Linked DNA regions of Macaca mulatta. The protein of the gene in region 1 interacts with the protein of each later gene in a pairwise test. Links are inferred from orthologs where the notes say so. Each region holds a gene or a part of one and is shown in the gene's direction. Other genes may lie near its edges. The genes, in order: CDC42, CDC42EP1, CDC42SE1, MYO9A and PLEKHG4.

Region 1 (5,944 bases):
AGGGACTTGAGAGTCAGACTGCTTGGGTTTAAATTACAGTTCTACCACTTACTGGCTGAATAGCCTTGGCTTGCTTACTTGCTGAGCTTCACTCTTCTTGCTTGTAAAATAGGGATAATATAGCACATCATAGGCTTTTTGGGAGGATGAAATGTGTGAATATGTGTAACATGTTTTGAACAGTACATGGCACTTAGTAAATGCTGTATAAGTGTTTGCTGCTTACTATTATTTGAGAGTGCTTTTAGATTTAACCAGTAATTGATCTTAGGGATGAGGGTTGTTAACCTTTAATGCTGTATTAGTATGGGTGCTTCTTAGTGCATAAAAGGGAAAGGAGAAGGAAAAAAGAGATATAAAAGGAAGTTGAATAAAGAAAGATAAATATGGCTGGCTGCAGTGGCTCATGCATGTAATCCCAGCACTTTGGGACTTTGGGAGGCCAAGGCGAGTGGATTGCTTGAGCCAAGGAATTCAAGACCAGCCTGGGTAACAGTGAGACCCCATCTCTTAAAAAAACCCAAACCAAAACCAATACAAAACAAAAACCCAGCCAGGCATGGTGGCATGTGTCTGTGGTTCCAGCTACTTGGGAGGCCAAGGTGGGAGGATTGCTTGAGTCTGGGAGGTGGAGGTTGCAGTGAGCTGAGGTTGTGCCACTGCACTCCAGCTTAGGGTATGGGAGTAAAACCCTGTTTAAAAAAAGAAAAATATACTGCAGATAATTTTGATGAGGAACGGGAGAGTGTGTATTTCCTGTAGGTTACTCACACTAGTGTAATTTCGTGTTCTTGATTTTTGCATCCTTTCAACAACTCGCAGTGTGCCAGTCTAGAAGTGCTCAGTGCTAGAAGTATAGTGGTGCTTGAGGTACTATAGGTTCATTTACAGGGATGTTAATAGGCGTTTATAAATTGTTATGATTAATTGTTGTGAATGGTGCTATAGGAGCATGGTGGCATCTGACCAAGAGTTAGGTGGTTCTGTATTTTTATGTTTAATTAAACCCTTTTAGGATTATAATTTAAATTAATTTACATATAAATAAATCTTAAAATTTAGGTATATATTGGGTGGTATTTCTTTTTATTCTTTCAGAAAACTGTTAAAGTATTTCATTGAATCTAAGATTCCAATTTCATAGAAGTCAAAATGTGGGGGAAAAATGGCTGATAATGATTGTAAGAGACTCAATAAAGATACATTCTGACTTTAGAGATGTTTAAATGAAAAAAAGTTTCTCAAATTAATGACTCTTTGGTACTTGTAATTGATAACTTCTTAAAATTGAGGAGAACTCGAATAAGAGAAGCTGTAGTATCTGTTTATAAGTCAGTATGCTTTAGAGCAGTCTGACTTTTCATTATAAAAATGTAGGTTTTGGACTAGGCATTCTGGTGCTAAAACAGCTGCTGAGGCCAGCGATCACCCTGTTCTTTGTTCAGTTCCTCACGTTACTCATATAATTCGTGTGAGGCTCTACTGCTTGTTGGTCAGAGCCTGAGTAAGGCTGAGTAAGGCTGGATAATGAACCATTCTTTAAAGCGGTGGCCTTTGTATTGCAGTCTAGTTCACATACATGCATACATACAGGTGTGTGTGCACGTGTAACCGAAGAAAAGCTTTCACAAAATAATATTTAGTACAGTATGTGGAATTTTCTCTGATACAGTCTCTTCTTTTTCATTATAAAAATAAATTTGCTGTTTATCACACCAGTTGGGACCTTCTGAAATAACACTTAAGAAGTTGAAACAGCCAGGGATCAGAAACTTAGAAATGAACCTTATTTGTTATTGTAACTTATAGCAAGTCATTGTTTCTCTTATTGGGTTCTTTTAGCCATAATAATTGTGCTAGTTCTTTTCTTGCTCTGAGTGCCTTAACCTGTTGCTAAGTGAGGAAAAAAAAATACATATATAAGCATAAACAAACATGTCTTTAATCTTTTTGCAGGTCAACATCAGATTTGAAATATTTAAAGTGGATACAAAACTATTTCAGCAATGCAGACAATTAAGTGTGTTGTTGTGGGCGATGGTGCTGTTGGTAAAACATGTCTCCTGATATCCTACACAACAAACAAATTTCCATCGGAATATGTACCAACTGTAAGTATAAAGGCTTCTTTCTGTTAGTAAAATGTAAAATTTGATACCCTTTTGAAAATTCTTTCTCTGTGTGTACTGAATTTTTTTCTGTTTTCTGCCTTTGTTTCCTGTTTTTAAAGATCTTGACTTCTCATGGGTAAATTATATACACTTTAAAATTAAACAGCTGAAAAATCAGTGGAAAGTCAGAAGGGGTGACACAAGGGTTTACAAGAAGTGCTGGGAGGCAAAACTCCAGTAGACAAGATTCTAACGAGTGGTGATCTCAATTTGGTGAAGTATGCCCTACATCTTGGAATGAGGTGACTTTTTTTTTTGGATATTTTGGCCAGTTATTGAACAGTACTTGGAGGTCTCCTGGGATACCATTTGGGGTCCTGTAACTTGAGAGAAAGTTGTATGTGTCTCCACTTTTCTTGTGGAACTATTCTCTTAGCAGTAATGGAGCTCCAAACTGGTTGTTAGGGGCAGAGAAGAGAAGACCTGTTATGTTATGAGAATACCAACAGAAACCTTTGGGGGTCACCCCCCACAACCTTTTTTTTTTTTTTTTTGGAGACGGAGTCTCTATCGCCCCTTCTATCTGGAGTGCAGTAGTGCGATCTCGGCTTGCTGCACCCTCCGCTTCCTGGGTTCAGGCAATTCTCCTGCCTCAGCCTTCTGAGTAGCTGGGATTACAGGTGCCCGCCACCACGCCCAGCTAATTTTTGTATTTTTAGTAGAAACAGGGTTTCACCATGTTGGCCAGGCTGGTCTCGAACTCCTGACCTCAAATGATCCACCCGCCTCGACCTCCCAGAGTGCTGGGATTACAGGCGTGAACCACCATGCCCGACCCCACAGCTGTTTTTTAAATCAGCTCTTTGGAATGGGAGAAGGAAGGTGGGAATAACAAAGATATTGAAGTGAGAGAGAGAGAGACAAGAGTTAGAGTAACACTCATTTGTGAAAGGTAGTGAGACGCTGTCTCAAAAATAAGTAAAGTTGTTTATTTTGAAGGGGGGAGAATTTGAAGGTATTATTAAACACTAAAATCACATTGATATTTTGAATTGGCCCATTTGGAGACAAGATAAATGGAAGATGTTGTGAGGTTCAGTGGACTTACAGGGGACGTTTAGAGGTATATGAATCTTGTTTCAGAGTGAGGACAGCTATCAGAGTTTTTCTGTTTTAGTTTCCATTGAAGTTGTTTAACTTGTAAACATAATTTCTGAGTCTTTTATGACTTTGATCTTCTGGTGTTGTATTTTAAGTGGGCTTGTGGGTTTTTTATATGTATGTTTGTGTGTACATCTCTGGAAAAGTGATAGGGTGGAAGGAAGAGTAGTAGAATAAAATTTTAAATGAGCCGATTTAGGTAAATGAATGGACCATGAGGCACAAATAATGTTCTCATGGTACCTGTTGAAGTTAGTATGGAAATGGATTTGGTGTAAAATGCATTTTAGTTCCCATCTATAAATTGGAGCTTGCCGTTTCTAGAGTAATAGAAATTCAGAGTTGAATGGGACAATACATACTGTCTTATCCATCGCTTATGGATGAGAGTACTCAGGCCCAATTTAGGGATGAGACTTAGAAGTCTGACTTTAATTACTTAGTGTAATTACACTAGGGAAAGTAGACTTTGGAATGGAAGCCAGCTTTTCTGATTCTTAGTCTGGTTTTGGATATGAACAATCCAGTAAAGGAGGGTTGTTTTTGAGTCTCTTAAGTGCGATTTAAGAAAGTTATGTGTTTGGTTTGAGAGCTTAATCACATTCATTCGATTTCTTTGTTCTTGTTTTTAAGAACGAACTTTCCTTTGTCATCTCCCTCAGGCCCTTGCTTCTCTTCTTCTTTACATTTAAATAAGCTCTTGAGCAGTCTGTTAAAACATAAATCAGAAAATCAGAGTAGGTACCCAAAGGTTAAGTAGGGCTGGTCTTAAAATGTGGCATTCTTCTCCTAGTTGGAAAGCTTTGCTTTTCTTTTTATATATATCATTTAATTTTTAAATTTTTATTGTAAATTGACAGATTATAGTTGTATATGAAAGCATTGCTTTTCTATTGTAAATTAATTCTAAAGACTCCAGAATTTGTGTTGGGTCTTTTCCCATTTAGCATTGTTAAACCTCCCATTTTCACACATAACTTAGTACAACCAATATTAGTATATGCTGTACTGAATTTGATAAGGGTTTTATGGTCTATTTACATATTAAGCATCTTGTTACAGAAGATGTCTCACATCATGCAGTTTGTGCCCAATAACATGAATTTTACTCACAAAATTCCCAGCTGGCCAGTCGCAGTGGCTCACACCTGTAATGCCAGGACTTTGGGAGGCTGAGGCAGGCAGATCATGAGGTCAGGAATTTGAGACCAGCCTGGCCAACATAGTGAAACCCCGTCTCTAAAATTTTCTCTAAAAATACAAAAATTAACTGGGTGTGGTGGCATGCACCTGTAGTCCCAGCTACTCAGGAGGCTGAGGTGGAGAATCGCTTGATCCCGGGAGGCAGGTTGCAGTGAGCTGAGACCATGCCATTGCACTCCAGCCTGGGAGACTCTGTCTCAAAAAAAAAAAAAAAAAAAAAAAAATCCCAGCAAATAATCTGTCAGCCTTTTCTTGGACACTTTGAGTACTTTGAGGGAACCGTTATTTCTCTCAAATGGGCTTGTTTGTAACAAGGCTTATCTTTTCTAGGACTCTGAAAGGAAGAAAGGTCATGGATCTAGGAGATTTTATTTCTAGATGAAAAGAAAATGGTCTATGAAGAAATAATTTCTTAGGAATCAGATTGAATGTTGAGGTAGACCACTGTCTCAAAAGTTTCAGACTTGAACAGGTTCATTTTGTGTAGCTAGAGGACTCTGCTCCTGTGACACCTCTAAGCCTTCTCTGGCTCTTTATCCAGGCTGCTGTGGTAGAGCAGAAATCTCAGAACACATCCTTTGTCTTTTTCCAGGAACCATTTAGCTCACACAAGGTACTTGGTTGGCAAGATTGGTTATATAAGGATGATGAATGAACTAAGGGACGATTAAGTCTTAGCAAGGAAACACTGCCTTAGCTTAAGAGTTGTTCTGTCCCATTTTAGCTCTCTCCTTGCACACTAACAGTGTTGTATTTTTTTTGTTTTTAGGTTTTTGACAACTATGCAGTCACAGTTATGATTGGTGGAGAACCATATACTCTTGGACTTTTTGATACTGCAGGTGAAAACTTAATGTCTTTTATACTGTTTTGATTTTTAACAGTTGCTAGTTGTTTGTCTCTTGTGGATATTTTGAGAAACTAGCACATGAGCAGAGTACTTGCCTTTTGTTATTAGTTAGCAGGATTGAATATAATGATCGTTGATGCTTGACCAAGGAGCAGTCCCAGACCTGGATTGGCAAATAGGAGTTTGGAGTACCCTGGGTGAACAGTGTAGTAGATGAAGTAGAGTGAGACTACAGTGCATTATACAAGCTCAAACTGAACTAAAATCCAGATGTGTGCACCTTGCAGAGAATTGGGGACTGTATTAGTGGTTGGGGAGGGACTAAGGGAATGAATTCATAGGAATCATGCCCACTGATTCTCTCCCTTCACCCCTACCTGCTCCGTTTTAAAGCCTAGAGTTTCCTAAATATGCCTAAGGTTGTAAGGTCATAAGCCATTTATAGTATTTATTATTATCACTCTCTGATATCTGAAGGCGTATTCAATTTATGTGTCTAATAACATGTTTAGTTTCTTACGATAGCTTATTTATTTTAAACTGTATCTGAAAATAATTTGAGAGTGAACTGTTACTTGCTCACAGTATTGACATTTGTCAACTATCCAAATTGTAAGAA
Region 2 (5,999 bases), on another chromosome or scaffold:
TTGGAGGAGGAGAAAAGCATGAGAAAGGGAGACTACTCAACCCTGGATCCTTCCTGGGGATATTGAAACTTCTCCCTTTCTCCCGTTTTCCAGAGGGAAAACGTGAGTCAGATCCTTAAATCAGGAGTGGAGCCAGGAACGAGGGCACAGCCTACATGGAGATAGATTTCTATCTGGAGACAGGCTGCAAAGGAGGGAGAGGGCTCCTCTCTGCCTTAGCTTACCCAGATGTAAAAGGGGGCAAGAATTCCTGATTCACAGGTTTCCTGTCAATGAGCTGGAGAAGACAAAGCATGTGGCATATAGTAGGGAGGTTCTCAACCACTTTTTCTTTCCTGCCGGCCCTCCCTGCCCACGGGTGAAGAAGATGGAGCAAGCATGGGGCAGGTTGTAGCCACTTCCATCAGGACTGCTTGCTCGGTCATCTGCCTGGGGCTCACAACACCCAACTAGTAAATACCCACACTGCTATTATACCCATTTCAGAGATGAGAAACTTGAGGTTCACATGGGCCAAGTGCTTTGCCCACGGTCAGCCACTAGGCCGGGATTTGAGCTCAGGGCCTTTGACATTGCACCAAACTGCCTCCTTTACCACCGCTCTAGGGATCCTCTGACTAGAGTGACGTGTAATTGATTGTCTAAACAGGTCACCTTTGAGAATGAAAGGAAGTGCTATTAATAATTACGCTGGAACAGTATGTGTAATCTGGGCTGTCCTAGGCAAACTGGAAAGTATGGCCATCCTGTCAAAGTAGGGGGTTTTACGCAAATCACTTCACTTATCTGCAAACGGGACACCATGGCAGGACTTTCCCCATGGGGCTCTCACAAGAATTAAATGTCATAATGCTTGTTAAGGAGCTACAGGACTTGGTATGCATCAGGTGCTCATTAAGTGCTGGTTACTGCTGATGCAATTAATAGTAACAACCACAGCATCACTAGTTATTTGCTTCCATCACTGTCCTTCCAGTCCATTCTTCACTCACAGTCAGACTTCTGTTTTGTTTTTTGTTTTTTTGAGACAGAGTCTCGCTCTGTCGCCCAGGCTGGAGTGCAGTAGCATGATCTCAGTTTACTGCAACCTCCATCTCCCAAGTTCAAGCAATTCTCCTGCCTCAGCCTCCTGAATAGCTGGGATTACAGGCGCCCACCACTATGCTTGGCTAATATTTGGTATTTTTAGTAGTGACATGGTTTCACCATGTTGGCCAGGCTGGTCATGAACTCCTGACCTCAAGTAATCCGCCCGCCTCAGCCTCCCAAAGTGCTGGGATTACAGGCGTGAGCCACCGCAACTGGCACTTTTTTATTTTTATTTTTTAAGACGGAATCTCGCTCTGTTGACCAGGCTGCAGTGCCGTGGTGCGATCTCAGCTCACTGCAACCTCTGCCTCCCGGGTTCAAGCAATTCTCCCTGCCTCAGCCTCCCGAGTAGCTGGGATTACAGGCACCTGCCACCACGCCTGGCTAATGTTTGTATTTTCAGTCAAGACGGAGTTTTAGCGTATTGGTCAGGCTGGTCTCAAACTCCCAGCCTCAAGTAATCTGCCCACCTTGGCCTCCCAAAGTGCTGGGATTACCGGCGTGAGCAACCAGCCTGCCAACAGTCAGTCTTCTAAATCTACACCTGCCAGTGCTGCCTGCTGGCTCACTGTCCCGATGCTGTTTCAATTCTCCATGGGACAAAATGCTCCTGGGCCAGCCCCCCGGGAAAGAGTTCCTACTGCTGTGCCACTTGAGCAAATGCTAGAATGCTTTGTGCCTCCGTTTCCTCATTTGTCCAGCTGCAGGAATAGCTCCTTCCCTTGGCGGCCAGCATGGGGATTCAGGGAGCCCGTGGAAGAGGCCTAGCCCCTGGGTGAACAGTAAAGACCTTGTCTCCTCCACCTGTGGGTAAATACGGCTCCTCGTCCCCTGCCACAACAGCGCTCAGCCAGTCTCCTCCAACCAGGTTTGCCTCCGCTGCCGGGTCCTCCGCTCCCAGCCTTTGCTGTGCTGTCCCCCTGCCAGCTGTGCACGATGCATTTCCATTGCCCTTCCCTCTGCCTACACGTCCTTTAAGACTTAACTCACAACCGCGCAGTGGCTCACACCCATAATCCCAGCACTTGGGGAGGCCGAGGCAGGCGGATCACCTGAGGTAAGGAATTCAAGACCAGCCTGGCCAACATGGCGAAACCCCCTCTCTACTAAAAAATACAAAAATTAGTCGGGCGTGGGCGGGTGCCTGTAATCCCAGCTAGTCTGGAGGCTGAGGGAGAATCGCTTGAACCGGGGAGGTGGAAGCTGCAGTGAGCCGAGATTGTGCCAAGGCACTCCAGCCTGAGCAACAGAGCGAGACTCCGCCAAAAAAAAAAAAAAAAAAAAAAGACAACTCCGGTATCATCTCCTCTAGGAAGCTTTCCTGAGGCCCCAGGACCTCAGGCAGTGTTAGGGACCTCCCTGTGCCCTGACAGCCCGAGGACTCTATAGTCAGAGGAGAGTAGTCAGAGGAGGGCACGACAACAGGAGGCGGGGGCCAGAATCTATCTCCCCTCCTTGATGATGGCACAGGGTCCCGGGTATGGCTGATTCCTTGCCCCCCCCCCCCATGGAGGTGGGGGGGCGGGATCTGTAAAGTCTCTGAGATGCGACCTCATTTACCTGCCAAGCAAGCCTCCTAGGTGCTCTTGGAGCACGGGACACTTGACACAACATCTGATGCTGCTATTATCTATCCCACTTTCAGATCAGGAAACTGAGGCAGAGAAAGGTAAGTAGTGACTGAGGCAGGACAGGAGCCCAGGCTGTCCGGCTCCAGGGTCCCGGCCTTGACTCTACCCGTCGCCCCAGTGTGGCTGTCTTCCTCCTGGGCACCGCGAGGCCTGTACCGGGTGGAAGGGAAAGAGAATCCGGAGGAAAGGAGTGGGCATGTCATGCTTGTAAACATCAAAGTTTAAAGGCCCAGGCATTCAGGGCCTCAGATCGAGCTTCCCGATTCCCCAAACTCCCGCAGGGCGCTGCTGGAGGGCCCAGGAGGGAGGCGAGTTCATCAGGCCTGGACGCCCTAAGGCCACGCGGGGAACCGGTGGAGGAGGGGTTGGCGGCCGGGGACCGGAGTCGCCTCCCCGGGGCAGCCCGCACGTTCCTCATCTGACCCTGGCCGGGGTGGCGAGGAGAGAGGCCTGGCCTGGCCCCCCAGTCGCGTCCCCGCCAGCTCTCGGCGGCGGCGAGGACGGTGCCGAGGAGGGGGCCGGGGAGGGGGCCGGGCCCCGCCCGCTGGCGGGAGGAGAGGGGCGGGAGGCGGGAGCGCCCACACCCCGCCCCCGCCCCCGGATCCAGCCCGCTGAGCCCGCGGCCAGGGCGGCGCAGACCGGCCCAGCAACTCTCCCGGGCTGCCAGCCGGGACGCGCGGCCGCCGCCGCTGCAGAACTAGTCCACCCTAGTCCCGCGTCCCCGGGGCTCGCGAAGCCAGGTAACAGCTGGGGCGCGCGGGTCCTCGGGGCGGAGTCCGTGGAGGCCGGCGAGTCCGGGCGCCTGCGAGGGCTCTGCACCCTCCTAGGCTCTCGGGGCCGGGAGGGGGACCGGACCCGCCCGGGAGAGGCGCCCCCGGGTGCCCACGGGAAGGCCGGGCGCGGCCGAGGAGCCGCGCGGGGAAACTCCGAACTTTCGGGCTTCGTGTCCCATTCCGGGCGGGCGGAGGGGGCAGAGGATCGGACGAAACTCAGCGGCCAAACTGCGTGAGGAGGAGGCGAGCCGAGGGACAGAGCGAGGGCTGTCTCCGCGCCTTCCTGCGCGGGGGAAGGAAGGGCAGGGGCCGGGAGCGGGCGACGCGGCGGAATGTATCCCCTCCGCCGAGGCCCACGCGGAGAGCGGGAAGTGGGGGGTGGGGGACCCGGGGAGATGGACAGGCACCCTGCCCCCTCCCCGACCGCCGCATTCCAGGCTGGAGCCGCGGATGAGGTCATCCCGTCCGGTTCCCCTCTGGCCAAGACAGCTGGCCGTCCCCTTCCCCCGCGGAGCGACCCTCCGCGTCCTGAGCCCCAGGCTCCCGCGTCCCCCCAGGGAACGTTGGGTGGTCGAAGTTTTTCCCGGACTTCCAATCCCGGTCGCCCTCCAGATTGTTCTGCCTTTGCCCCAGCCGTGCCAGACCCGCAAGATTCGAAGCCCCTTTCCTAAACCGGGAAACTGAGGCTTAGAGAGGAGAGAGGACTGGCCGGGAGGCCGCAGCGACACGAAACGTGGCGCGGGAACCCGAGACGCAGCTCGCAGCCGCTCCTCCTCGCCTGGTCCACGGCTGATTTGGCTCTAACTCGGGGCGGTGGGCACGAAGCGCGTCTCCTTTCCACTTTTCCCGTCGCTCCCCAATGGCCCACGGTGCCCCCCTTGGAATACGGAGGACCGGGTCCCCTAGCGCGACTGAGAACAACTAGCTACCCCGTTCTGGCCTGTTTCCCCGTCTCTCCACCTTGAAGCGTCTGGACTTTGAGGGGAAGGAGAAGCCAGCCGCCCGGGTTAACCCCTTAACCCAGGGACCAGAGCAAGTTTGGGGGAGCTGCCGTAACCAAGACAGGGACCCGCTGTCCAGCGGTAGAGGGCGGGGGCATCACCCAGCTGGATGCCCGCAGGAAGGGGGCTGTGTGCACCCGAGCAGTGACCTCCAGGATGAGACGTGGGCCCCTGGCCAGCACTGCGGCCTGCGGGTGACCCCCAGGTGAATGCCAGGCTGCAGCCGTCCCCGCTCTCCTTCAGAGCGGCCCTTGGCCTCCCCGCGACCACATGTGCCTCCACAGCGGCCCCTGTTGGCCGGATCCTGGCTCCAAAACTTGTTCTTGCGTCATTCCCACCATTGAGTGAGCTCAGGCCATGCGCCCAGGCCCTGACTATCCTCTATAGGGTAAATATAAGGACTCCAGGGACACTGAAGCTGTGTGATGACCTCCTTGCCCAGGTCACAGACGCTGAATCTGCAGAGCTTGGTCTCCTGTCTTCCCAGGCCTGCACCTGCACCCCACACCGTGCTCAGCACTGGGCATCCAAGCCCTCCAAATCCTCTTCCCCATTCCCCATCGTCTTCACCCCCACCCTGGGGCATTTATCAGCGATGCTGGCCTGTGATTGAGGGTAAATGTCTCCTTTCTAAGTTTTGTTTTTTCCATCTGTAAAAGGGGTGTTCTCAATACTAACGGGTGGTATTCCTGGGCAGGTGAGGGGAGGTGAGCCTGGCACCAAGACACTTGGAGCCGTGCTTACTCCTAGTGCCAGGTGAGGCACACCTGATGGCCAGCAGTGCCCTGTGGTTGGCAGCAAGTGTCACGTGGCTGCCACCAGGGGTCCCTGTAATGAGAGATGTTAGTGTAAAGGTGTCAGATTTGAACCCATAGCTGCCCTGCTCTATCCAGCATCTGAGGGTTTCATTACATTTTCTACCCTTGCAACTCCCCTGGGAGGGGAACTGTCTGGTGTGCTGTTCCCGTTTTCCACATGGGGAGGCAGGTCCCAGTACCCTGCCCTCAGCTCCACAGGCCTGCAGAGTCTCTATACTGCAGTAGGCAGGGTGGCGTGGGGGATGGGTACTATTGGGGGGTGCCCAGAAACATTTGAAAGATGGGATCATCACAAGATTGGGGAGGAAGCTGGTGCCCCAAGTCAAAAGTGGCCATGGGGGTTCAGGGGGGAGGAGCCCCTTTTGCTGGGAGAAGAGGTGCTGCCTCAAGAAGTCAGGGAGGCCAGGTGTGGTGGTTCACACCTGTAATCCCAGCACTTTGGCAGGCTGAGGCAGCAGGATGGCTTGAGTTCAGGAATTTGAGACCAACCTGGGCAATGGAGTGAGACCCTGTCCTTACAAAAAGTGGAAAAACTTAGCTGAACGTGGTGGTATGCGCCTGTAGTCCCAGCTACTCAGGAGGCTGAGGTGGGAGGATCGCTTGAGCCTGGGAGTTCGAGGCTGCAGTTAGCTGTGATGGAGCCACTGCACTCAGCCTGGGTGACAGAGTGAAACCCTGCATCAAAAA
Region 3 (6,181 bases), about 100 Mb from region 1:
AGAGCTATCTTGCAATTTAAAAAGCTAAAGGAAATTTTATGAAACATTAACTCAAAAGGCCTAAAATCTCTATGTCATTGACCCAGAGACATGTACACAGGGTACAAAATATATTCAAGAAAGACATGCATGCAAGCATATGTGGCATTAAAATCAAGTCAAGAACATAAAGTAAGACTACACAGAAAATTGAAGTTAAAATACTATTCACTAATGTAAATAGTAATGACATTTTTGATTTAATACAGTATGGATTTAATTATCAAATACTCCAAATTTTGCAAAAGGTTCCTTTTTTGGCTAGCTTCCCCTTCCCCTCCACAAATGCTCTCCACCCCTACTTCATCTATCTTTACATCTATCATTATGTTAAACGGTATCATTTACTTAAAGGGTTTCGACAGTGCCTTGTACCACAACATATGTTCAATAAATGCTTCCCACTAACCTTCATTTTAAATTATCCAGGTATTTTAGGTAAAGGCAATTTCTAATTATCACTCTGTTCTTAGATATACATGATTAGCAAATATATAGATTAGAAAGATACATCTCTCTCGGAGGCACACAGACACACCCAAATATCCTTTGTCCAGACCCTTTGTGGGCATCCAAGGCCTACTCAACAGGGCCTTGCTGTGTCATGCTGCCACCATGGGGAATGGGGAAAGACAAGGTGGTGGTGGTGGTAGAGGGGAGTGGAAGCTCTCTGGCATCTCATAATGTGTGCCTCAGTCAGAACTTGGATTTTCCTATTAGCATTCCCCCACCAATTCCACTGAGCTGCAAATAATCATTCTTTTCCAGAATCTGTCCCCATAGCTAGCTCCTGTGGGCTATACTGATTTCACTATGGAATCAGGCAGTTCTCCAACACAGAGGCCCCCACCTTTCCTACCCCAGGCTGCCTCTTTCTTTGGAGCAAAGATTTGAGGTGGAGTGAAAGAGATGGTCCAAAGAAAGGTCAGGATTACACTGAACATTATCCCATATAACCCCCTCCCAAACTCCCTCCTACAGAGAAACATAGAACACTACGGAAAAAAATTGCAAGTATAGGGAAGTAGAGGGCAGAGAGATACAGTAGGACTAAAGATTCATCAAATAGCTGGTAGAACAAATTATGGTTTGAAAAGGAAGTAGACTGAATATATTAAATACACAGGACAATAAATTACAGAAAAGGATATCTGAAATAAGGAGGTAGGTGCTGAGAAATAACTACATGTAAATTGTTAGAAATTAATGGTCTGTACAAGGTAACAAGGCATGGATGCTGTGAAGAAATAACTACCCATTGTTCATAGCGCCCCCTTCTCTCCTCTTCAGCTGTCCCCCACCTTATGTGGGGTCTTTCAATCTAACCATAAGCAGCCGCTCTTCTATCTTTGCAGCCCCCTGCCCCCCTCCCTCAGTTTGGTTTACCTGTTATCAATCAATTACTGGCGTGTTCCAAAGATGGAGGGAGTGCCTCGGGGGCTCCGGGATCTGTGCCGGGCTGGAGAAATACAAAGCTGTTGGGGCTTTGACGGCTTTGTCTTCTCACTCCTTTTCCCTCTTCAGTGACTGAGTCTGTCAGTTAGCTCTCCCCCTGCAATGCAGCCCCTCCTAAGAAGGGCGGAAGGATTTCCCCGCCCCCTCCTGCCTGACTCGGCTAATTCAAATGATAGGTTCCAGAACACTTGAGGGAAAGAGACGATTAAAGCGTCTCCGTAGGCTCATTGGTCTGCGCTATTATTCCCGATCTCCTCCAGCATCCCCGTGCTGACTAGGGGCGCAATGAATGAGCAGTTAATTGCCCTCTAATTTTAGGTCCTCTAATTTATGGACTTGAAATCTTAACTCTAGACTACAATGGAAAGTAGTGTTCCTCTCTTCTACAATTTAAGGACTTCAGGTTACAAGGTATTTTTAAGAATCATATTTTTCCACCCGTTCTCCCAATCCCTGATCCTCCCGACTCGCCTCTCTACCCTCACAATGGGTAAATAAACCTAGTCCTATTCCATTTTGGGTAGAGCACAGAAGAGATTTGGGGTGGGGGGGCGTGCTTCTGCGAATCTCTGAACTTGGTTAGGTCTCGGGGTTTGGGGGGCTCCGCTTCGTTTTGCCCCGAAATGCCTGGCGCGCAAAGGGAACTTGAGATTTCAGGGGCCCCAGCTTGGGTACCAGGCCCTCATCTACGTGTCCGCATTCTCCAGTTCTCCCCTCAGGGGCGGCGGCCTTGGGGGGCTGCAGAGGCACCCTCCCACGCCTCGCACAGTGCAGTGCCTCCGCAGTCCAGAGGGGAGCTGTGCGCTCGGCTCCTAGCCGGACGGGTTTCGTAATCGCGTCGCCGCCGCTTCCGCCCTCAGCCGGCCCCACCTCTGCCGGCTCGTCCTGGGCTCCCCCACCGGGCCGCAGAGCTAGCCCGGGAAGCCCACACTGGCGGCCACGGAGCAGAGCCCCTCACCCCCGCCAGCTGTAGCTGAACGTCTGGATACCGGAGAAGAGCAGGTGAGGCCGTGCAGTTGGTCCCCCAGCCCGCCCGCCGCGCCGGCAGGGCCAGGCGGAGACACACCGGATGCGGGGTGTGGGGAAGGCGGATGTCTTGGGCTGCAGAGATGCTGGGGCGTTGGGAACGGGGTGCGCGCCCGGGGTGGCCGTCCTCATCCACCCTCCTGGGGTGCGCAGGCTGAGGCCGCTGAAGAGTAGAAGGAAAAGAAGGAACTGGAATGTTCGGGTGGGGGTGGGAAGGAGAGGGTCCGAAAGATTCCCAGGGAGGTCCCAATCCGGTTAAGGGTTGGGAAGAGCAGAGAACTTCTGGGTAGAGTTGGGTAGTAGGGGGAGACAGATATGGAATCTGAGTGATTGAATATATTTGGGGAGGGGAGGCTTAGGGCCTAGCCCTCTTTCCTCTTAAGCCCCCAGAAGACCTTTCCTGGGGAAGGGGAAGGTTGGGGCTGGGCCTGTCACTTGGCTGAAATATGGAGTCCACTCCACTTCTCCAGAGCCCCTCCGCAGCCCTCCATGTCTAGGGGTCTGCACACAGGGACCAGCTGCTGCCCCGGGCTTCTAGCCAGAATTGCCCATTCCATTCTCTCGATTCTTTCTTTCTCTCCAGCTGCTTCATGTGAGGGCTTGTCAGGCCGCGGGTTGGAGGCCTTAGGGCCAGAGGCGGTGGGACCGGGTGAACCGGTTTGGGGCCCGAATGGGACCAGAGAACTAGCCTGTACATCCTTCCTCCCTGGCACCTCTTTCCTAACCCTTCTGCTCACCTCCCAACAGCTTTGAGACCCTCAAGTCCTAGTGTGATCTTGGTGGGGGTGGGGGGTGGCTTTCCCGGTTCCATATTTCACTCTTGCCATTTGGAACTCAGAGAGGCCGAGTTCTGAGCACCAAGGACGTGGCCTTATGCAGTCTAATCCTCATCCCTCCTGTTGATTTCTCAGCCCCTTCCCTACCCACTGTGGGGTTGGATTCGGTGGCTCTTCCGCCTGGGCTGACCAGCTCAGGACTTCATTTTTCCTCAACCCACTCTCTTCTGGCTGCTTTAAAGAAGAGTGGCCGCCAGTGGCTCTTACTTCCTTTTTTTGGCTTTGTTCCCATCCCCCCTTCCCTGCGCTACCATCACATTCACCCTGACCTGTCTTTACACTCTGACCCCACCCTCAAGTTTCAGAGACCCTAATGTCCTAGGGAATGGAATTTCCTGGTCACATCTCGTCATCATTGGTCATTTCATGCCAAGTCCCACACACACACTTTCCCTCCACCCAGCTCTGGTCAGGTCCCTGGAAAAGAAACAGAAATGGCCTTGTTCTCTGCACTGCCCCTTTCCCTCTCTCCTCCTCCCCCTCTCTTCTCCTCTTCGCTCCCAGCACTATCCACCTCTGTCCCTCAGCTTTGAGCAGGGCAGGAGATGTTGAGGGAGAGTCCAGTCACAGTACAGCCTGCCTGCTGGTGTTGGGGGTTTCTTCTAATTCTTCATTTTCCCCCAACCCTTACCACCTGCCACCACCACCATCAGGATAAACCCTATGACTGACTCACTGACGTCCCACTGACCACAGCTCTCCTCTCTGGACAGCTGTGTTTTAGCTTCCGTTCCTTCTGGTTACTCCTCCCTTCCAGTGGTGAGAAGGGAAGTAAGAGAAAGCCTAGCCTCCTGGGTTCTCCCTTCCCCTAGACGCTGCATTTGAGTGTTTGTGTGATCTCATCTCAAGGCTGTTAAAAAACCTCTCTTTATGTGTGTATGTGTGTTGTTGTGGTTTTTTTTTTTGTATTTGAGACAGGGTCTTGCCCTGTCACCCAGGCTGGAGTGCAGTGGTGCAAACATGGCTCACTGTAGCCTCCAACTCTTGGGCTCAAGTGATCCTCCTGCCTCAGCCTCCCCAGTACCTGGGATGACAGGCGCATGCTACTACACCCTGCTATCTTGTTTTTTTGTTTTGTTTTGTTTTTTTGAGGTGGAGTTTCGCTGTTGTTGCCCAGGCTGGAGTGCAATGGCATGATCTTGGCTCACTGCAACCTCGGGTTCAAGCAATTCTCCTGCCTCAGCCTCCCAAGTAGCTGGGATTACATGCATGCGCCACCACACCCAGCTAATCTTTTATATTTTTAGCAGAGATGAGGTTTCACCATGTTGGCCATGCTGGTCTCAAACTCCTGACCTCAGGTGATCCGCCCGCCTTGGCCTCCCAAAGTGCTGGGATTATAGGCGTGAGCCACCACGCCCGGCCTATCTCTTGTTTTTAAATCAGTCTGGGGTGCCAAAGCATCAGTGTTCCTGGCCTGGAAGAAAGGGAGATTCCTGTTCATGTTAAAGTGTCGTATTTATGAAACTCCCCTTTTTGGAATCTTTGAGGTTGTCTGTACTATAGGACTGGGGAAATGCAAGTGAGTCTAAGAAGAAACCCAGATGTGTCCTACCCTGGCTGGCAGTAGTGAGAAGGGAGGAAGTTCTTCCCTGGACACTAGTACTATTGGAAAGTTCCTTGTGTCTGGTTGACTGACGAAGCTTGAGGATGGAATTGGTGAGGAGGGAGGGGAGAACAGGTCACAGCTGGAGGGGAGCCTGGGCCCTATAGAGTGTGAGGCAGAGCAGAGTGGCAGATAGGACATGTGGACGGTGGGGAAAATATTCCTCATGGGACAGAAGATACCTGGCACATGTACCCACAACCTGTACACAGATGATCTGTATTGGACACACGTGGAGATATGGCCATGCCACACATGTGCAAACAGAGGTGTACACACAGGAGTGCAGTGATACAGGACACAGATAAACAGAATGTACACAGCCTTCAGGAAGGATCTCAAGGTCAGGTAATAAAGGAACTGCTAACTGGCTTCTGGGAGGGATTGGATTTCACTGGAGGGAAATCAGGAGGAACAGCGCAGCAGAGGGGGAAAACATTTCTCATTGTAGAAAGTCTTTCCTGAGGGCCAACCTGTCAGTTAGTCTCCTAGGACCTCAGTGGTCCAGGGCTCCCCTGTTCTTAAAGAAACTCTAGCATTCAGGGCAAGGTAAGAAAAAACGCAGGGACAGGGTGGAGACCTTGTTTGTGAGAACAAAAAACCACTATTTCCTCTTCAGAGTCACTTAAATGCCCCTCCCCTTCTGCCCTAAACTCAGAGAGAAGGGAGCTGGAGCTTCTAGCACCCCAAACTTTGCTAATTTCTGCCACTGTCCTTTGGTCCTCGCCCATCCTTTTAACTCTAAGTGCTTCTAGCCCCCTTCCTCTCCCTTGGTACCACCAGCCACTGCTCCTTAACCCCTTGGTGGCCTTTTGGTTCTGTTCCTTTATCTTAAGAGTCAAACTGAGGTTTGTAGTGTTTGGGAACGAGTGTTGGTGTACAGGTCTCGGGCCTCTCAGGGAGGACTGAGAAGATATAGGCTCATCAGGAGGTTTCTCAAGGATTGGGGGAGGGGGAGATTTCTCACTGATCTTTCTTTTTACTTTCTTCTAATCCAGGGTTCCGAGTCTGAGGAAGACATAACCTTGTGCCTGCCTGCCCACCTCTCTCTCTGGTCCTGTTCATCTTCAGGCTCTGAGACACTGACCTTCACTGCTCAGTTAAGGGTTCCAGGGATTCTACTTTCTCTGGACCCATCCAGCTGAGTGAACCCAGGGTGTTGTTATATCTGGGGAGAGTGAGGAGTGGGTTGTCCAAATACCAGAGCAAGAGCCCTTTG
Region 4 (5,387 bases), on another chromosome or scaffold:
ATATGGCCATGGGAACAGCAACTAGATGGTCATAGTAATGCTATAGCCCTAGAGAGTGCTAGGATACTGGATAGGGAAATTGATTGCAATTTAGGAGAGAGACAAATAAGAAGCTCTTTTACCTCCATTCATCACTGTTGCAGGGATTGGGTGACATTATGCCTTGGGGATAATATGAACATGCCATGGTTCTCCCTAAAGGTGCTGTGTAATAGTTCTGGTCGACATTGATGACTCTTAGAAAGTCTTAATGGGATCTTTATTCCTGAGTTCCAGGATCACAGGTCTTGAGTTTGACTTATAAGGGGATATGAGACTGTTAAAGTACTTTTTTGGTCTCTCATGATTGATTCTGGAATATATATAGGCCAGCTAAAAAAGCAGCTGGGGCTCAGCTGTAAAAAACATGATAAGGCAAAGATGATGTACATTGACCAGGGGCTATTTGCTAGAAGAGTGATCTGAAAAGAAGACCCAATTCGGCTTTGATGCAGATGATGTTAGCGGTCTTGAAGGATTCATAGGAATTTTCAAGTAAGGGGAGAGTCCCTAGAAAAAGAAAGAAGAACGAGCACAGTCTCAGAATGCACATGACCTCAGACAATTGTAATACTGGTGATACTATTCTTGAAATGATTGTTCATGGATCTCAAGCTAGGTAAAGTGGAAGTAAAGGTAAGGGGCTCTGTTAGGGAAGAGACTTGATTAGAAGGTGAGTAAGAATTGGAAGGATAAGGAGGTTGTGAACAGGGCAGAATATTGGATTCACAGTTGGTGTATTCAGGTAATGACAAGCTCCAGCATCTGCCCATTGGAGAAAGTAGCTTAGCAAAAGTGGAGGAAAATATTGTTAGAAGTTGCAGACATAAAAGAACTTCAGTGTTAGGATATTGAGATGAATTTTTACAAAGATATTAATTGAATAGATCAGGTGATGTCAAGCATTAGTGAGAAAGCAAGGTTAGGAGCTGAGTACCAAAGACATCACGGAATGTGGGGCATTACTGAGAGGCAGCTGGGTGACTGATGAAGAAGGAAGACTAGAGAATGCGATAACTAAAGATGGCATAAGCTTCAAAGGACAGAAAAGATCAATCAGTGTTTTTCTTCATCTAGAGGTCTCTGTGGTGAAGGTAGAGGATATAGTCCACAGCTAGTTAGTAAGCTTCATGGAAAATAGTTTAGGAGCTGGAAGGAATCTTAGAGGTTATCTAATTTAATCTCTTTGTTTTGTGGTAGGAAGCTGAGGTCCAGAGAGAGAAAGGTACTTTCCTGATGCATTATGGATATTATGAACAAGGTTAGAGCCCTGATCTCCTGATTATCAGTCCAGAGTTCATTTTACTGAAAGATCTCACCACGACAGCATCTTCACCCTACTCTTACCCCTGTTATTGGTCCTAGATTGACTATGATTTTATCCTTTAGTCCATATAGTTTTAGCGTTCACCATATTTGGCATCACCACCTGGATGGGGACAGTAAAAATGGACTCTCTTTGCTTCTTAGATTCCTGACTTTCATGGAGGATCTTTTTTTCTGTTATCTTCCTTCCACTTCCTATCAAATATGCTAATGGTTTCTTGATTGTATCTTACAGGGAAGAGCTGACATTTGAGATGCTTGTACTGGAACCCCGTGCCTCTGATGATGAAACTCTTGAGTCTGAGGCCTCCATTGGGACTGCTGATAGCTCAGAAAATTTGAATATGGAGTCTGAATGTGCTATCTCTGAGAAATCAGGTAAGTGAACATGGTAGACCAAAGACGCCAGATTTGTTTTGCAAAGGAGGAATAAAGATTCCGAAACCAAGACAAAGTCTTTCAAGAATGCACTGACCATACATCAGCAGTAACAAAGTCCTGAGGAATTTTGTCCTTTTTTTTTTTTTTTTTTTTTTTTGAGACGGAGTCTCACTCTGTCCCCCTTGCTGGAGTGCAGTGGCCGGATCTCAGCTCACTGCAAGCTCCGCCTCCCGGGTTCAGGCCATTCTCCTGCCTCAGCCTCCAGAGTAGCTGGGACTACAGGCGCCCGCCACCTCGCCCGGCTAGTTTTTTTGTATTTTTTAGTAGAGACGGGGTTTCACTGTGTTAGCCAGGATGGTCTTGATCTCCTGACCTCGTGATCCACCCATCTCGGCCTCCCAAAGTGCTGGGATTACAGGCTTGAGCCACCGCGCCCGGCCAATTTTGTCCTTTTATCCATATAGTTTTAGCCTTCATCGTTTGGCATACAGGTCCTTATCACTATCTGGATGGGGATAAGAAATGTAATTGTCTTTGCTACTTAGATTCCTGACTTCCATGGAAGGTCTTTTTTTTCCTGTTGTCTTTGTAAAGCTTCCACATACATTGTTTATCAAACCAACTCTTTAGTGTGATTGAGTTTTGTTTGTTTGTTTTGTTTTGTTTTGTTTTGTTTGGTAATTTAATGTTTTATCCTGTACTTACCACAGAGAAAAGCCAATAATCACAATATATGTTGTCTTACTGACCCATGACCCATTTTCTGAGCGTGGCAGGAATTGTGCCCCACTGTGAGGTGGGACTATATACATATACAAAGGAGGTGTTTAACTGGGTGGCATGTCTCAGGGAGATGTAGAACTTATCTACATATCCCGGCAGTTTTTAATATGATAGTGACTGTTCTAGGCCTCCACTGGTGGCATAGTCAAACACCAGATTTCCTTGAGGATGATTCTGAACTGCTATATAGAGAAATGGATGGTGAGCTCTCTTTGACTATGACTGTGCCCATAGTAAGTCAGCCTGGAACCTCCAAATCTTATCCCACCCAATTTCATGTGTGAACAGTGACACCTATTCATTACATGATGATTTGCTTTAGAGGGCACTGTCATTTACATCTTTGGTCTCTTTTTTGCCTCAGAGAGAAGCTTAGCCCTTAGCTCCCTGAAGACAGCTGGCAAGTCTGAACCTTCCAGCAAGTTGCGAAAGCAGCTTAAAAAGCAGCAAGACTCTTTAGATGTAGTGGACTCTTCAGTCTCCTCTTTATGTCTGTCTAACACGGCATCGTCTCATGGGACCAGAAAACTATTTCAGATTTATTCCAAATCTCCATTCTACCGAGCTGCCTCAGCTAATGAGGCCCTGGGAATGGAAGGACCATTGGGCCAGACCAAATCCCTGGAAGACAGGCCTCAGTTCATCAGCAGAGGAACCTTCAACCCAGAAAAGGGCAAACAAAAATTAAAGAATGTGAAAAACTCACCTCAGAAAACCAAAGAGACCCCAGAGGGAACAGTCATGTCTGGCCGCAGAAAAACTGTGGACCCAGACTGCACCTCCAACCAACAGCTAGCACTCTTTGGAAATAATGAATTTATGGTCTGAACCGGCAGATGTGTGTCCCTCCGTGGCTACAGAGTGGTAAACACATCTCACCTTTGGGGCTGCGTTTCATCACCTTGTCCACAATAGTCCATCCTAATTGTGGTCCTGCCTCTTTTCTAAGCATATGGCTAAGACTGTATGTGCTGAATTCCTGGGCCTCCTGCAGAAGCAGAAAGCCTGCTGGGGATGGTGCCAGCTGTGCCTTGGCTGCTGTATTTGAATTGAGATTTTACTAAACAAAGCCACCTAGGGCCTGGGGATTTGGGTCAGTTATAGTTGCCTCTCCCCCACCCTCTTTTCCCTTCCCAAAGGTGGGTGTTGAACTAGGGGGGATATTGCTGACCTGAGGGACCCTCTCATTTCTGACATTTGAAGAAAACGTATAAATCTTTCTTAACTATGAAAGCAAAAGCCTTTGGGTTTATTTTGGGATAGTTAGGAGCTGGGGTAGAATATAATTTTTTTCCAAAAACTTATAAACAAAAAGCCTAATCCCTCTATTTTAAGATTTCTGAAAAAACACTCCATGTTATATTCTGGGGAAAGCAAAAAAAGTGATTGTTTCCATTAAGCCATCAGAGCGTGTCTCAGATATCTTGTTATATGGTGAAGAAGAGAATACCTATTTTGTTTTTGATGATGTTTGATGTCATAATAATCAGTGCTGGTTTGACTCCTGTTTAGTTCCTGCCAAATACATTGCATGGGCTGAAGTGTCAGTAGCCATACTGTTCTCATATTTCCTGGTCCTAGGATCAGATTCTTATACTTTAATTTTTAGTTTCCCAGAGACATGGTGATCCCTAAACTTATGAAGGTTCCATCCTAAGCCATTCAGGCTTTTCTCTTTGTATAGATTAAACCGAAAACCACATATGAGCCTGTTCATCTGCTGGTGGATTCCCACCACAGACTCAAATAATGTGACCATTTAGTTAGTTCTCCAAAAATATTCACATACAATATTGCATGAATAAGTGTTACAGAAAGCTGCCAAAAAATAAAAAGGTTTTTAATATGACCTATCTAACTTTTATCTTCCTTTTCTCAGACCATCAGTATTAAATAGATGGAAAAAAATCAAGGACTACTTGAAGCTATTTTTGTTAATATTCTGGTTACTGAAGTTTATTGTAAATATGTATGTATAGTAGGCATATTTCTTTTTAACCTTGTGCTTCCCTCCTTCCCATGGAATTTCTTCCCACAGATTAGGGGCCACTGGACAAGGGGATGAGAGCCATTCATCCCTGGGTTGAGGGAATAGTAAGACATCATTTTCACCACTGGGTGGTCTTCATACACATGAGTTGTAATAACATTTTAAGTATCTTAGCATTTGTGGGAATAGAAATCTGTTTTTGCTATTTATAATATATGAAAAATGAAACATGATAGCCTTTCTCGAGATAAGTATGTGAAATGTTTATTTTTAAAGTTACTAAATGCATCTTGTCTTGCTACTACATGCACTGCTCTGAAAAAGAGCCTTTACCATCTATAACCTGTATTTTGGTTATTCTTCCTTTTCATACTTCTTTGAAGTTGTGGAAATATTAAGTCTTTTGTTAAGGCAGAGTCTCTCCTGTTACACAACACTGAACCTCATGCCACTGCCTCAGTGGTTATTGGCCAGCCCCAGAGGTTAGACTTGGAGCATAATTCTGAGTGGCAGCTAAAGGTAGCAGGAGTTTTACCTCTCCCTGCTTTGGGTTCAGAATTGAGCCAGAGAAAGGAAGCTTTTAAAATCTCCAGAATAATGATGGTTAATGAGCAAATGTTATGCTTTATATCCCACAGACATCTGCCACCTTGTTTGTCTTGTCCTGGGGAGTACTAAATGTTAAGCTTTTAAAAATCTGAATTTCAGAGAATCTCCTAGAGGACAGAGGAAAACCCCTCAGCATGGTGTGTCATAGTGGGATTGCTGGTTCCTTAGCCCCATGCCAGGTTGCACAGTCTGTGTTTCAGTGTTCTTGGGGGAGTAGTGTGCTGCTGGGCATTAATTGTTACTCTGCACTTACTCCAGA
Region 5 (6,075 bases), on another chromosome or scaffold:
AGTCAGTCCTCATCCCTGGCCCTCCTCAGCCCTAGGTAATAACTAACTTACTTTCTGGCTCTCTGGATCTGAAGGACTTCTGAGACACTTGGAAGGTTATACTTTAAGCCAACTTACCTTTACTTTTTCTGCATTATGCGCAGGGAAGGTGTGATGAGAAGGAAGAGTGACTTGGGCTTTGCCTTCAGGTTGTGCACAGTCCACAGTGATAAGGCCTTGTAGTTAACTAGTAGTCAACAGTTTATTTTTTTAATATTTATTTATTTATTTATTTATTTATTTTGAGACAGTCTCATTCTATCACTCAGGTCACTCAGGCTGGAGTGCAATGGCATGATCTCGACTTACCACATCCTCTGCCTCCCGGGTTCAAGCAATTCTCCTGCTTCAGCCTCCCAAGTAGTTGGGATTACAAGTGCCCGCCACCATGCCTGGCTAATTTTTTGTATTTTTAGTAGAGACAGGGTTTTGCCATTGTTGGCCAGGCTGGTCTCAAACTTCTGACCTCAGGTGATCCACCCGCCTCCGCCTCCCAAAGTGCTGGGATTACAGGTGTGAGCCACCACACCCAGCTGTAGTCAACACTTTCAAGTCAACAGCCCCAGCTGCCACTCATCAGTGTCATTCTGGGTGTGTTACATGCTCTCTCTGAGCCTCAGTGTCCTCATCTCTCAAATGAGATAATCATACTCACTTCATAAGGCTGCTGTCAGGATTAAATGATAAAATTTAATGGGAAGAATCTACCGATAGCCTGGCTCAAGGTAAGGGATCATAAATGTCATTATTTGTCAGGCTGGGTGTGGTGGCTCATGCTTATAATCTCAGCACTTTGGGAGGCCGAAGCGGGTGGATCCCTTGAGGTCAAGAGTTTAAGATCAGCCTGGCCAACATGCCAAAACTCCATCTCTACTGAAAATACAAAAATTAGCTGGGCATGGTGGTACGCGCCTGTAATCCTAGCTACTGCGGAGGCTGAGGCAGGAGAATCACTTGAGCCTGGGAGGCAGAGGTTGCAGTCATGGGGCAGATGAGCATGGTGGGTTTGATGGGGAGGTAGGCAGGTGTCTTGGATGCAGGAGAGCAAATGCATCAAGCGCTCATCCATGGGTCATTGCCATGTGACTGGACAGGGTGGCTTGAGCTGAAAGAACTTGGCTGGGGAAGGCTTCGTGAAGGAGGTGCTGCACCCAGGCCTCAATGGAGGAAGGATTTTGATTAGGGGAGATGGGCATGGGCCTTCAAGAAGAGGAGCCAGTGTGAGACTAGACTAGTGATCAGATTTGTTTTCCAGGCCAGTCTGGGAGGTAGATGGGAAGGCTGTGATGCTTCTAAGTGGCCTTGACTGTCATACCAAGGAGTCTGGAGTTTATTTAGGTCAAAGGCAAGTGAGGTCTGGAAGTTCTGGGGTATTTGTTGCCCTCAGTATTTGGGGTAGTACTGAAGAGGGGTGTGCAAGGCGAATGACTATGGGTCTGTTGTCACTAGGCCCAGTGAGGCCCAGAGCCCTCCCCTCCCTTTTTATTTATTTATTTATGAGACAGAGTATCGCTCTGTCACCCAGGCTGGAGTGCAGTGGCGTGATCTTGGCTCACTGCAACCCCTGCCTCCCAGGTTCATGTGATTTTCTTGCCTCAGCCTCTCAAGTAGCTGGGATTACAGAAGCCCGCCACCACATCTGGCTAATTTTTGTATTTTTAGTAGAGACAGGGTTTTGCCATGTTGGCCAAACCAGTCTGGAACTCCCGACCTTAGGTGATCTCCCTGACTTGGCCTCCCAAAGTGCTGGGATTTTGTGGCATGAGCCACAGTGCCCGGCCCATTTTATTTTTTGATTGAGTCACGTCGGCAAGAAATGGGAGGCTGAGGGAGAGTTGGGGAAGGGTCAGGGGAGGGAGGCCCATTCCCATTTTATGATCTCAGTGGAAAAGGCTGCTGTGAGTTGATTCTGCTGCCAGGAGAGCCACAGAGATGGGCCCCATGAGTCACTGCTCAGTCCTGCAAGCTCAGCCCACAAAGCCTGCTGTGGTCAGCCACCCCTGGCTGGCTTCAGGCCCAGCTCCCCAATATTCCCCACTAGGCCTCAGTGTGTCCTCATTTCTATCTGTACCTTTGCCATCCTGGGGCCATGCAACCTGTAGCTCTCTGCCTCTTCTGTCTCCTTTCAGGCTGAGTCTCTGAATCTGTCTCCATTTGTGACTCTGGTTTCCATCTGATACATAGATGTGGAGCCTCAGGAGGGCAGGGGTAGTGTGATGAGGGTCAAGCGCCCCAAAGCATTTATTCTGTGCCAGGCCCTGTGCCGGATGCTGGAAGGACGGAAGTGGATAACATACAGTCTCTGTTTCCGTGAAGCTTACAATGCACATTCTCTGTGGAGTGGAGAAACCAGGGCCTAGCCCTGCCTCTATCTCAGTGTGGCTGTACCTCCCCTGAATCTGCCTGCTGTGCCCAGAGTGCCAGGGTCAGCTATAGCCTGTGGCTTGAGGCTTTTCTTTGCCTCTGGCATTCACAGGGGTATGTGTGCCTGCCAGCAGGTCCCTCCCAGCTCTTAGGGCTCCTGGGGGCCTTGGCTGGTGGGTGCCAGTGGGCAGCAGAAGGGGAGGGAGGGAGCAGAAGGCAGTGACTCAGTGGGGGTGGCCCTGGGACAGAACCGGGGAAGAAGCCAAGGTTGGAAGATGCTTTCTGAAGCCAGCAGGGTGGGAAGAGAGGTCTGGCTGGGAGTTAGGGATAGAGCAGGACAACTCCAAGGCTCCCCTCTGGCAGCCAGACCTGCTCATGAAGGTTCCTCGGTAGCTGCCTGAAAGTCTGGACTCTGGGGGCTGGGCTGGGCTGGGTGGGGAGACTGCTGTTGGTCCTACTGTGCCTGTTGTCATCCCCACGTTCGTGAAAGAGGCGCCTGCCTTAGAGCCAGGGAAGCCGTAGCACCGGGTGCCCCCTCTTCCCAGGGACCATGGGCCTGGGCACACCTTGGGGCTCAAGGTCTTCTCCTGGTCACAGAGCTGACCTTCCCACAATCTTCCCACAAATTCTGGGGAGTGTCAGGCCAGGCCCACATGCCCCAAAGGGAACTTAAATCACACAGCTACCCAAGTGACTTTCATCAGTTCAGGATTCCCTGACTGGGGGTGGTCAGGGTGAAATGAGGGGGCAGGGCACCAACACAGCCTGAGTGCTGGCAGCAGGTGGACGTATAACATAGGGAGTCTTCCCCAGTACTCATGGCAACCCCAGGAGAAAAATGACTTTCCATTTTTACAGGTGAGGAGGGTGAGGCTCAAAGAGCAGAGTTCCTGGAGAGCCCCCAGCAGGTAAGTGGAGAAGCCAGGCCTGGGCTGGGTGCTCTGGCTCCAGGACCCCACCTCAGCACCAGCCTCCTGCATTGGACTTTGTGGAGAAGGGGGTAAGGGGGTGCCACGGATGGCAAAGGGGTGGTGGATCTGGGGGACTCTGGCAGGCCTGGATCAGTTCCACCCATTGGTCTCACTCCCACCCCGATGGCAGCCCCATCCCGCGTGGGATCATGCGACCTGTCTCTGGGTGCCCGCGCCGAGGCAGCGTCCCGCTTCCCTACACAGAAGCCCTTCCCCTCCCGTCTGCCGTCTGCTCATTCAGCCGCGGAAGCCCCTGGGAGCCCCCACCCCTCCCCATCCCGCAGTGCTCTCCCCGCCACTGCCCCCCGCCCCCCCCCGCCCCCCCCCCCCCGCCGCGCACTCACCCTTGCGCACCCACGCGGCCTTCGTGGCGGGACAGCGCTTCCGGCGTCCTTGCCAGGCCCGGGAAGTGGGCACGGTGGTGCTGCCGGCCGTTGGTCGCTGCCCCGACCCACGCACTGCGACGCCGCGGGTGGGGCGCGCGATCTGCGGGGCCCGGGGTTGCGGCGGGGCGGGGCTGGCGGGCCGTCCGGGCCCGTGGAGAGGACCGCGGCGAGCGGGGGTTGCTGAGGGGGCCGGAACCTCATCTTCCCCGCCGGCCGGGCTGTGCCCCGTCGAGACCTGCGCGGGCTGTGGCTCCGTCCTCCGGCCCCCAGGGGGCGGCGCGGCGCGGCGCCGCGCCCCGGCGGCCCTGCCCTCCCTCCCTAGCGGCCAGGAGGCGGTGCCCGCTGACGCCGCGCGGGCACGCTGTACTCGCCGTCGAGGCCGCCGTCTGTTCGAAGGCTCTCCGGCTTCGCGGTTCCCCGCGAAGCGGCCCGGGGGCGTGAGTGTCGCCAGAGGGCGACGTGGGGCGCGCGCCAGGCCCCACAACGAGGCCAGGGCCCGGCGGGGCCGGCGGGAGAGCGAATACGAGGCAGCGTGGCGCCATGGCGGGGCCGCCCCCATGGGCATGGGCCTGCAGAGAGTGGCCGTGGGGACGCTGAGGGTGGGCGCGCACGGAACAGAGGCCCACGGGCGTCCGACAGGGGACCTGGACAGAGGGACGCCCCTAACATTATTCCCTCTCCCCAGGCCTGAATTGCAGTTCCTGTGCCCTGGCACTAAGACTGGCACCTTCTGCGGCCCATGCCTTTCGCCTGCATTGCCCACTGAATCCCACTCGACTGTCTTCAGCCTGGTTCACACTGAGGCCCAGCCCTCTCCCACTGGCCCGGAGCAGGCCCACCTTTAGGAGGGCGTGATGGAAAGGCCCCTGGAGGATGGGGATGAGTCCCCAGACTCCCAGGGCCATGCCACCGACTGGAGATTTGCTGTGTGCAGTTTCAGGGATGCCTGGGAAGAGGAAGAACCTGCTTCCCAGATGCAGGTTAAGGACCCGGGTCCTCCAAGACCACCAACCGGGGCCGCCCAGGATGAGGGGCTACAGGGCAGCCCCTTGTCCAGGAAGCTTCAGTTACTCCTGGCTGCAGATGAGTCGGGGGATCCCCACAGGGGCAAAGTAGAAAGCTCCTCCGTCCTGTCAGAAGGGCCAGGTCCCTCTGGAGTGGAGAGCCTCCTATGCCCCATGTCCTCCCACCTCAACTTGGCACAGGGTGAGGGTGACACCCCAGGGGTAGGGTTGGTAGTGGACCCAGGTCCAAGCAGGGTGATGCCATCTGGCTTGAGCCCTGGGGGATTGGACAGCAACCCTGTGGGCCTTGGAGACCCTTTATCAGAGAAATCATCAAAGCTGCTGGAGGCAGGTAAGGAAGGCTGGGCTAGGGAAGTCTGGGAAGGGAATAGGGATGCCTGGAGAAATGAGTGTCAAGACCTTGGAGGTCTCTGACCCTACTCAGGCTGAAGCCGGGATCCAAGGAGGGGTCTCTGGATAGGTGGCCCAAGGCAGACCCAAGTCATTTCCCTTCCCAAGCCCCCAGTGGATCCAGCTTCCCTAAGCCTGCTGACTGCCTCCTGGCCCAAGACCTCTGTTGGGAGCTGCTGGCCAGTGGTATGGCCACCTTGCCAGGTAGCTGGGAGGGCCTAGAGGCGGTGGAGGTGGAGTGGCCCAATGGGGCAGGAGTTCACTGCTTCCTCCCCATAGGGACTCGCGATGTCCAAGGCCGGGCAGTACTGCTTCTGTGTGCCCACAGCCCAGCCTGGCTTCAGCCTGAGTGCAGCAGCCAGGAACTCATCCGCCTCCTGCTGTACCTGCGAAGCATCCCCAGGTTTGAGGGTGGGGGTTGGGAGACTGAGCCTGAGCCAGCTGTGAGGACTGGGAGTCAGGTACTGAACTGAAGCTCACCCCTTTAGGCCCGAAGTACAGGCACTGGGACTGACAGTGCTAGTTGATGCCCGAATTTGTTCCCCAAGTTCTTCCCTCTTCTCTGGGCTCAGCCAACTACAAGTGAGTACGGGATTGTAGCTCCCCTCATTCCTTTTCTCTTTTCTTTTCTTTCCTTTCCTTTCCTTTTCCTTTTCTGACGGAGTCTCACTCTGTTGCCCAGGCTGGAGTGCAGTGGTGCGATCTTGGCTCACTGCAAACTCTATCTCACGGGTTCATGTGATTCTCCTGCCTCAGCCTCCCGAATAGCTGGGATTACAGGCACCTGCCACCATGCCCAGCTAATTTTTGTATTTTTAGTAGAGGGGGGTTTCACCATGTTGGCCAGGCTGATCTTGAACTCCTGAACTCAGGTGATCCTCCTGCCTTGCCTCCCAGATT

The links.
Region 2: the proteins of CDC42 (region 1) and CDC42EP1 interact in binary tests that used the Homo sapiens proteins (3 or more experiments, as listed by UniProt). The link is inferred for Macaca mulatta from reciprocal best matches to the Homo sapiens genes CDC42 and CDC42EP1.
Region 3: the proteins of CDC42 (region 1) and CDC42SE1 interact in binary tests that used the Homo sapiens proteins (3 or more experiments, as listed by UniProt). The link is inferred for Macaca mulatta from reciprocal best matches to the Homo sapiens genes CDC42 and CDC42SE1.
Region 4: the proteins of CDC42 (region 1) and MYO9A interact in a two-hybrid assay, tested with the Homo sapiens proteins (3 studies listed by BioGRID and IntAct). The link is inferred for Macaca mulatta from reciprocal best matches to the Homo sapiens genes CDC42 and MYO9A.
Region 5: the proteins of CDC42 (region 1) and PLEKHG4 interact in a two-hybrid assay, tested with the Homo sapiens proteins (2 studies listed by BioGRID and IntAct, with this or other methods). The link is inferred for Macaca mulatta from reciprocal best matches to the Homo sapiens genes CDC42 and PLEKHG4.

What each region holds. Positions count from the first base shown.
Region 1 is NC_133406.1:218,931,694-218,937,637, reverse strand, and holds the start of CDC42 (cell division control protein 42 homolog), read left to right. Parts: upstream 1-1,968; 5' UTR 1,969-2,006; coding exon 2,007-2,111; intron 2,112-5,244; coding exon 5,245-5,317; intron 5,318-5,944. UniProt on the Homo sapiens protein: Plasma membrane-associated small GTPase which cycles between an active GTP-bound and an inactive GDP-bound state. In active state binds to a variety of effector proteins to regulate cellular responses. Involved in epithelial cell polarization processes.
Region 2 is NC_133415.1:13,982,416-13,988,414, reverse strand, and holds the start of CDC42EP1 (cdc42 effector protein 1), read left to right. Parts: upstream 1-2,002; 5' UTR 2,003-2,146; intron 2,147-3,355; exon of another isoform or gene 3,356-3,460; intron 3,461-4,936; exon of another isoform or gene 4,937-5,109; intron 5,110-5,999. UniProt on the Homo sapiens protein: Probably involved in the organization of the actin cytoskeleton. Induced membrane extensions in fibroblasts.
Region 3 is NC_133406.1:116,039,072-116,045,252, forward strand, and holds the start of CDC42SE1 (CDC42 small effector protein 1), read left to right. Parts: upstream 1-2,371; 5' UTR 2,372-2,496; exon of another isoform or gene 2,497-2,709; intron 2,710-3,205; exon of another isoform or gene 3,206-3,428; intron 3,429-5,174; exon of another isoform or gene 5,175-5,310; intron 5,311-5,960; 5' UTR 5,961-6,181. UniProt on the Homo sapiens protein: Probably involved in the organization of the actin cytoskeleton by acting downstream of CDC42, inducing actin filament assembly. Alters CDC42-induced cell shape changes.
Region 4 is NC_133412.1:49,452,606-49,457,992, reverse strand, and holds part of MYO9A (unconventional myosin-IXa), read left to right. Parts: intron 1-1,600; coding exon 1,601-1,743; intron 1,744-2,893; coding exon 2,894-3,357; 3' UTR 3,358-5,387. UniProt on the Homo sapiens protein: Myosins are actin-based motor molecules with ATPase activity. Unconventional myosins serve in intracellular movements. Regulates Rho by stimulating it's GTPase activity in neurons.
Region 5 is NC_133425.1:62,819,725-62,825,799, forward strand, and holds the start of PLEKHG4 (puratrophin-1), read left to right. Parts: upstream 1-2,661; 5' UTR 2,662-2,792; intron 2,793-3,161; exon of another isoform or gene 3,162-3,261; 5' UTR 3,262-3,311; intron 3,312-3,754; exon of another isoform or gene 3,755-3,846; intron 3,847-4,043; exon of another isoform or gene 4,044-4,445; 5' UTR 4,446-4,614; coding exon 4,615-5,116; intron 5,117-5,283; coding exon 5,284-5,379; intron 5,380-5,454; coding exon 5,455-5,578; intron 5,579-5,663; coding exon 5,664-5,757; intron 5,758-6,075. UniProt on the Homo sapiens protein: Possible role in intracellular signaling and cytoskeleton dynamics at the Golgi.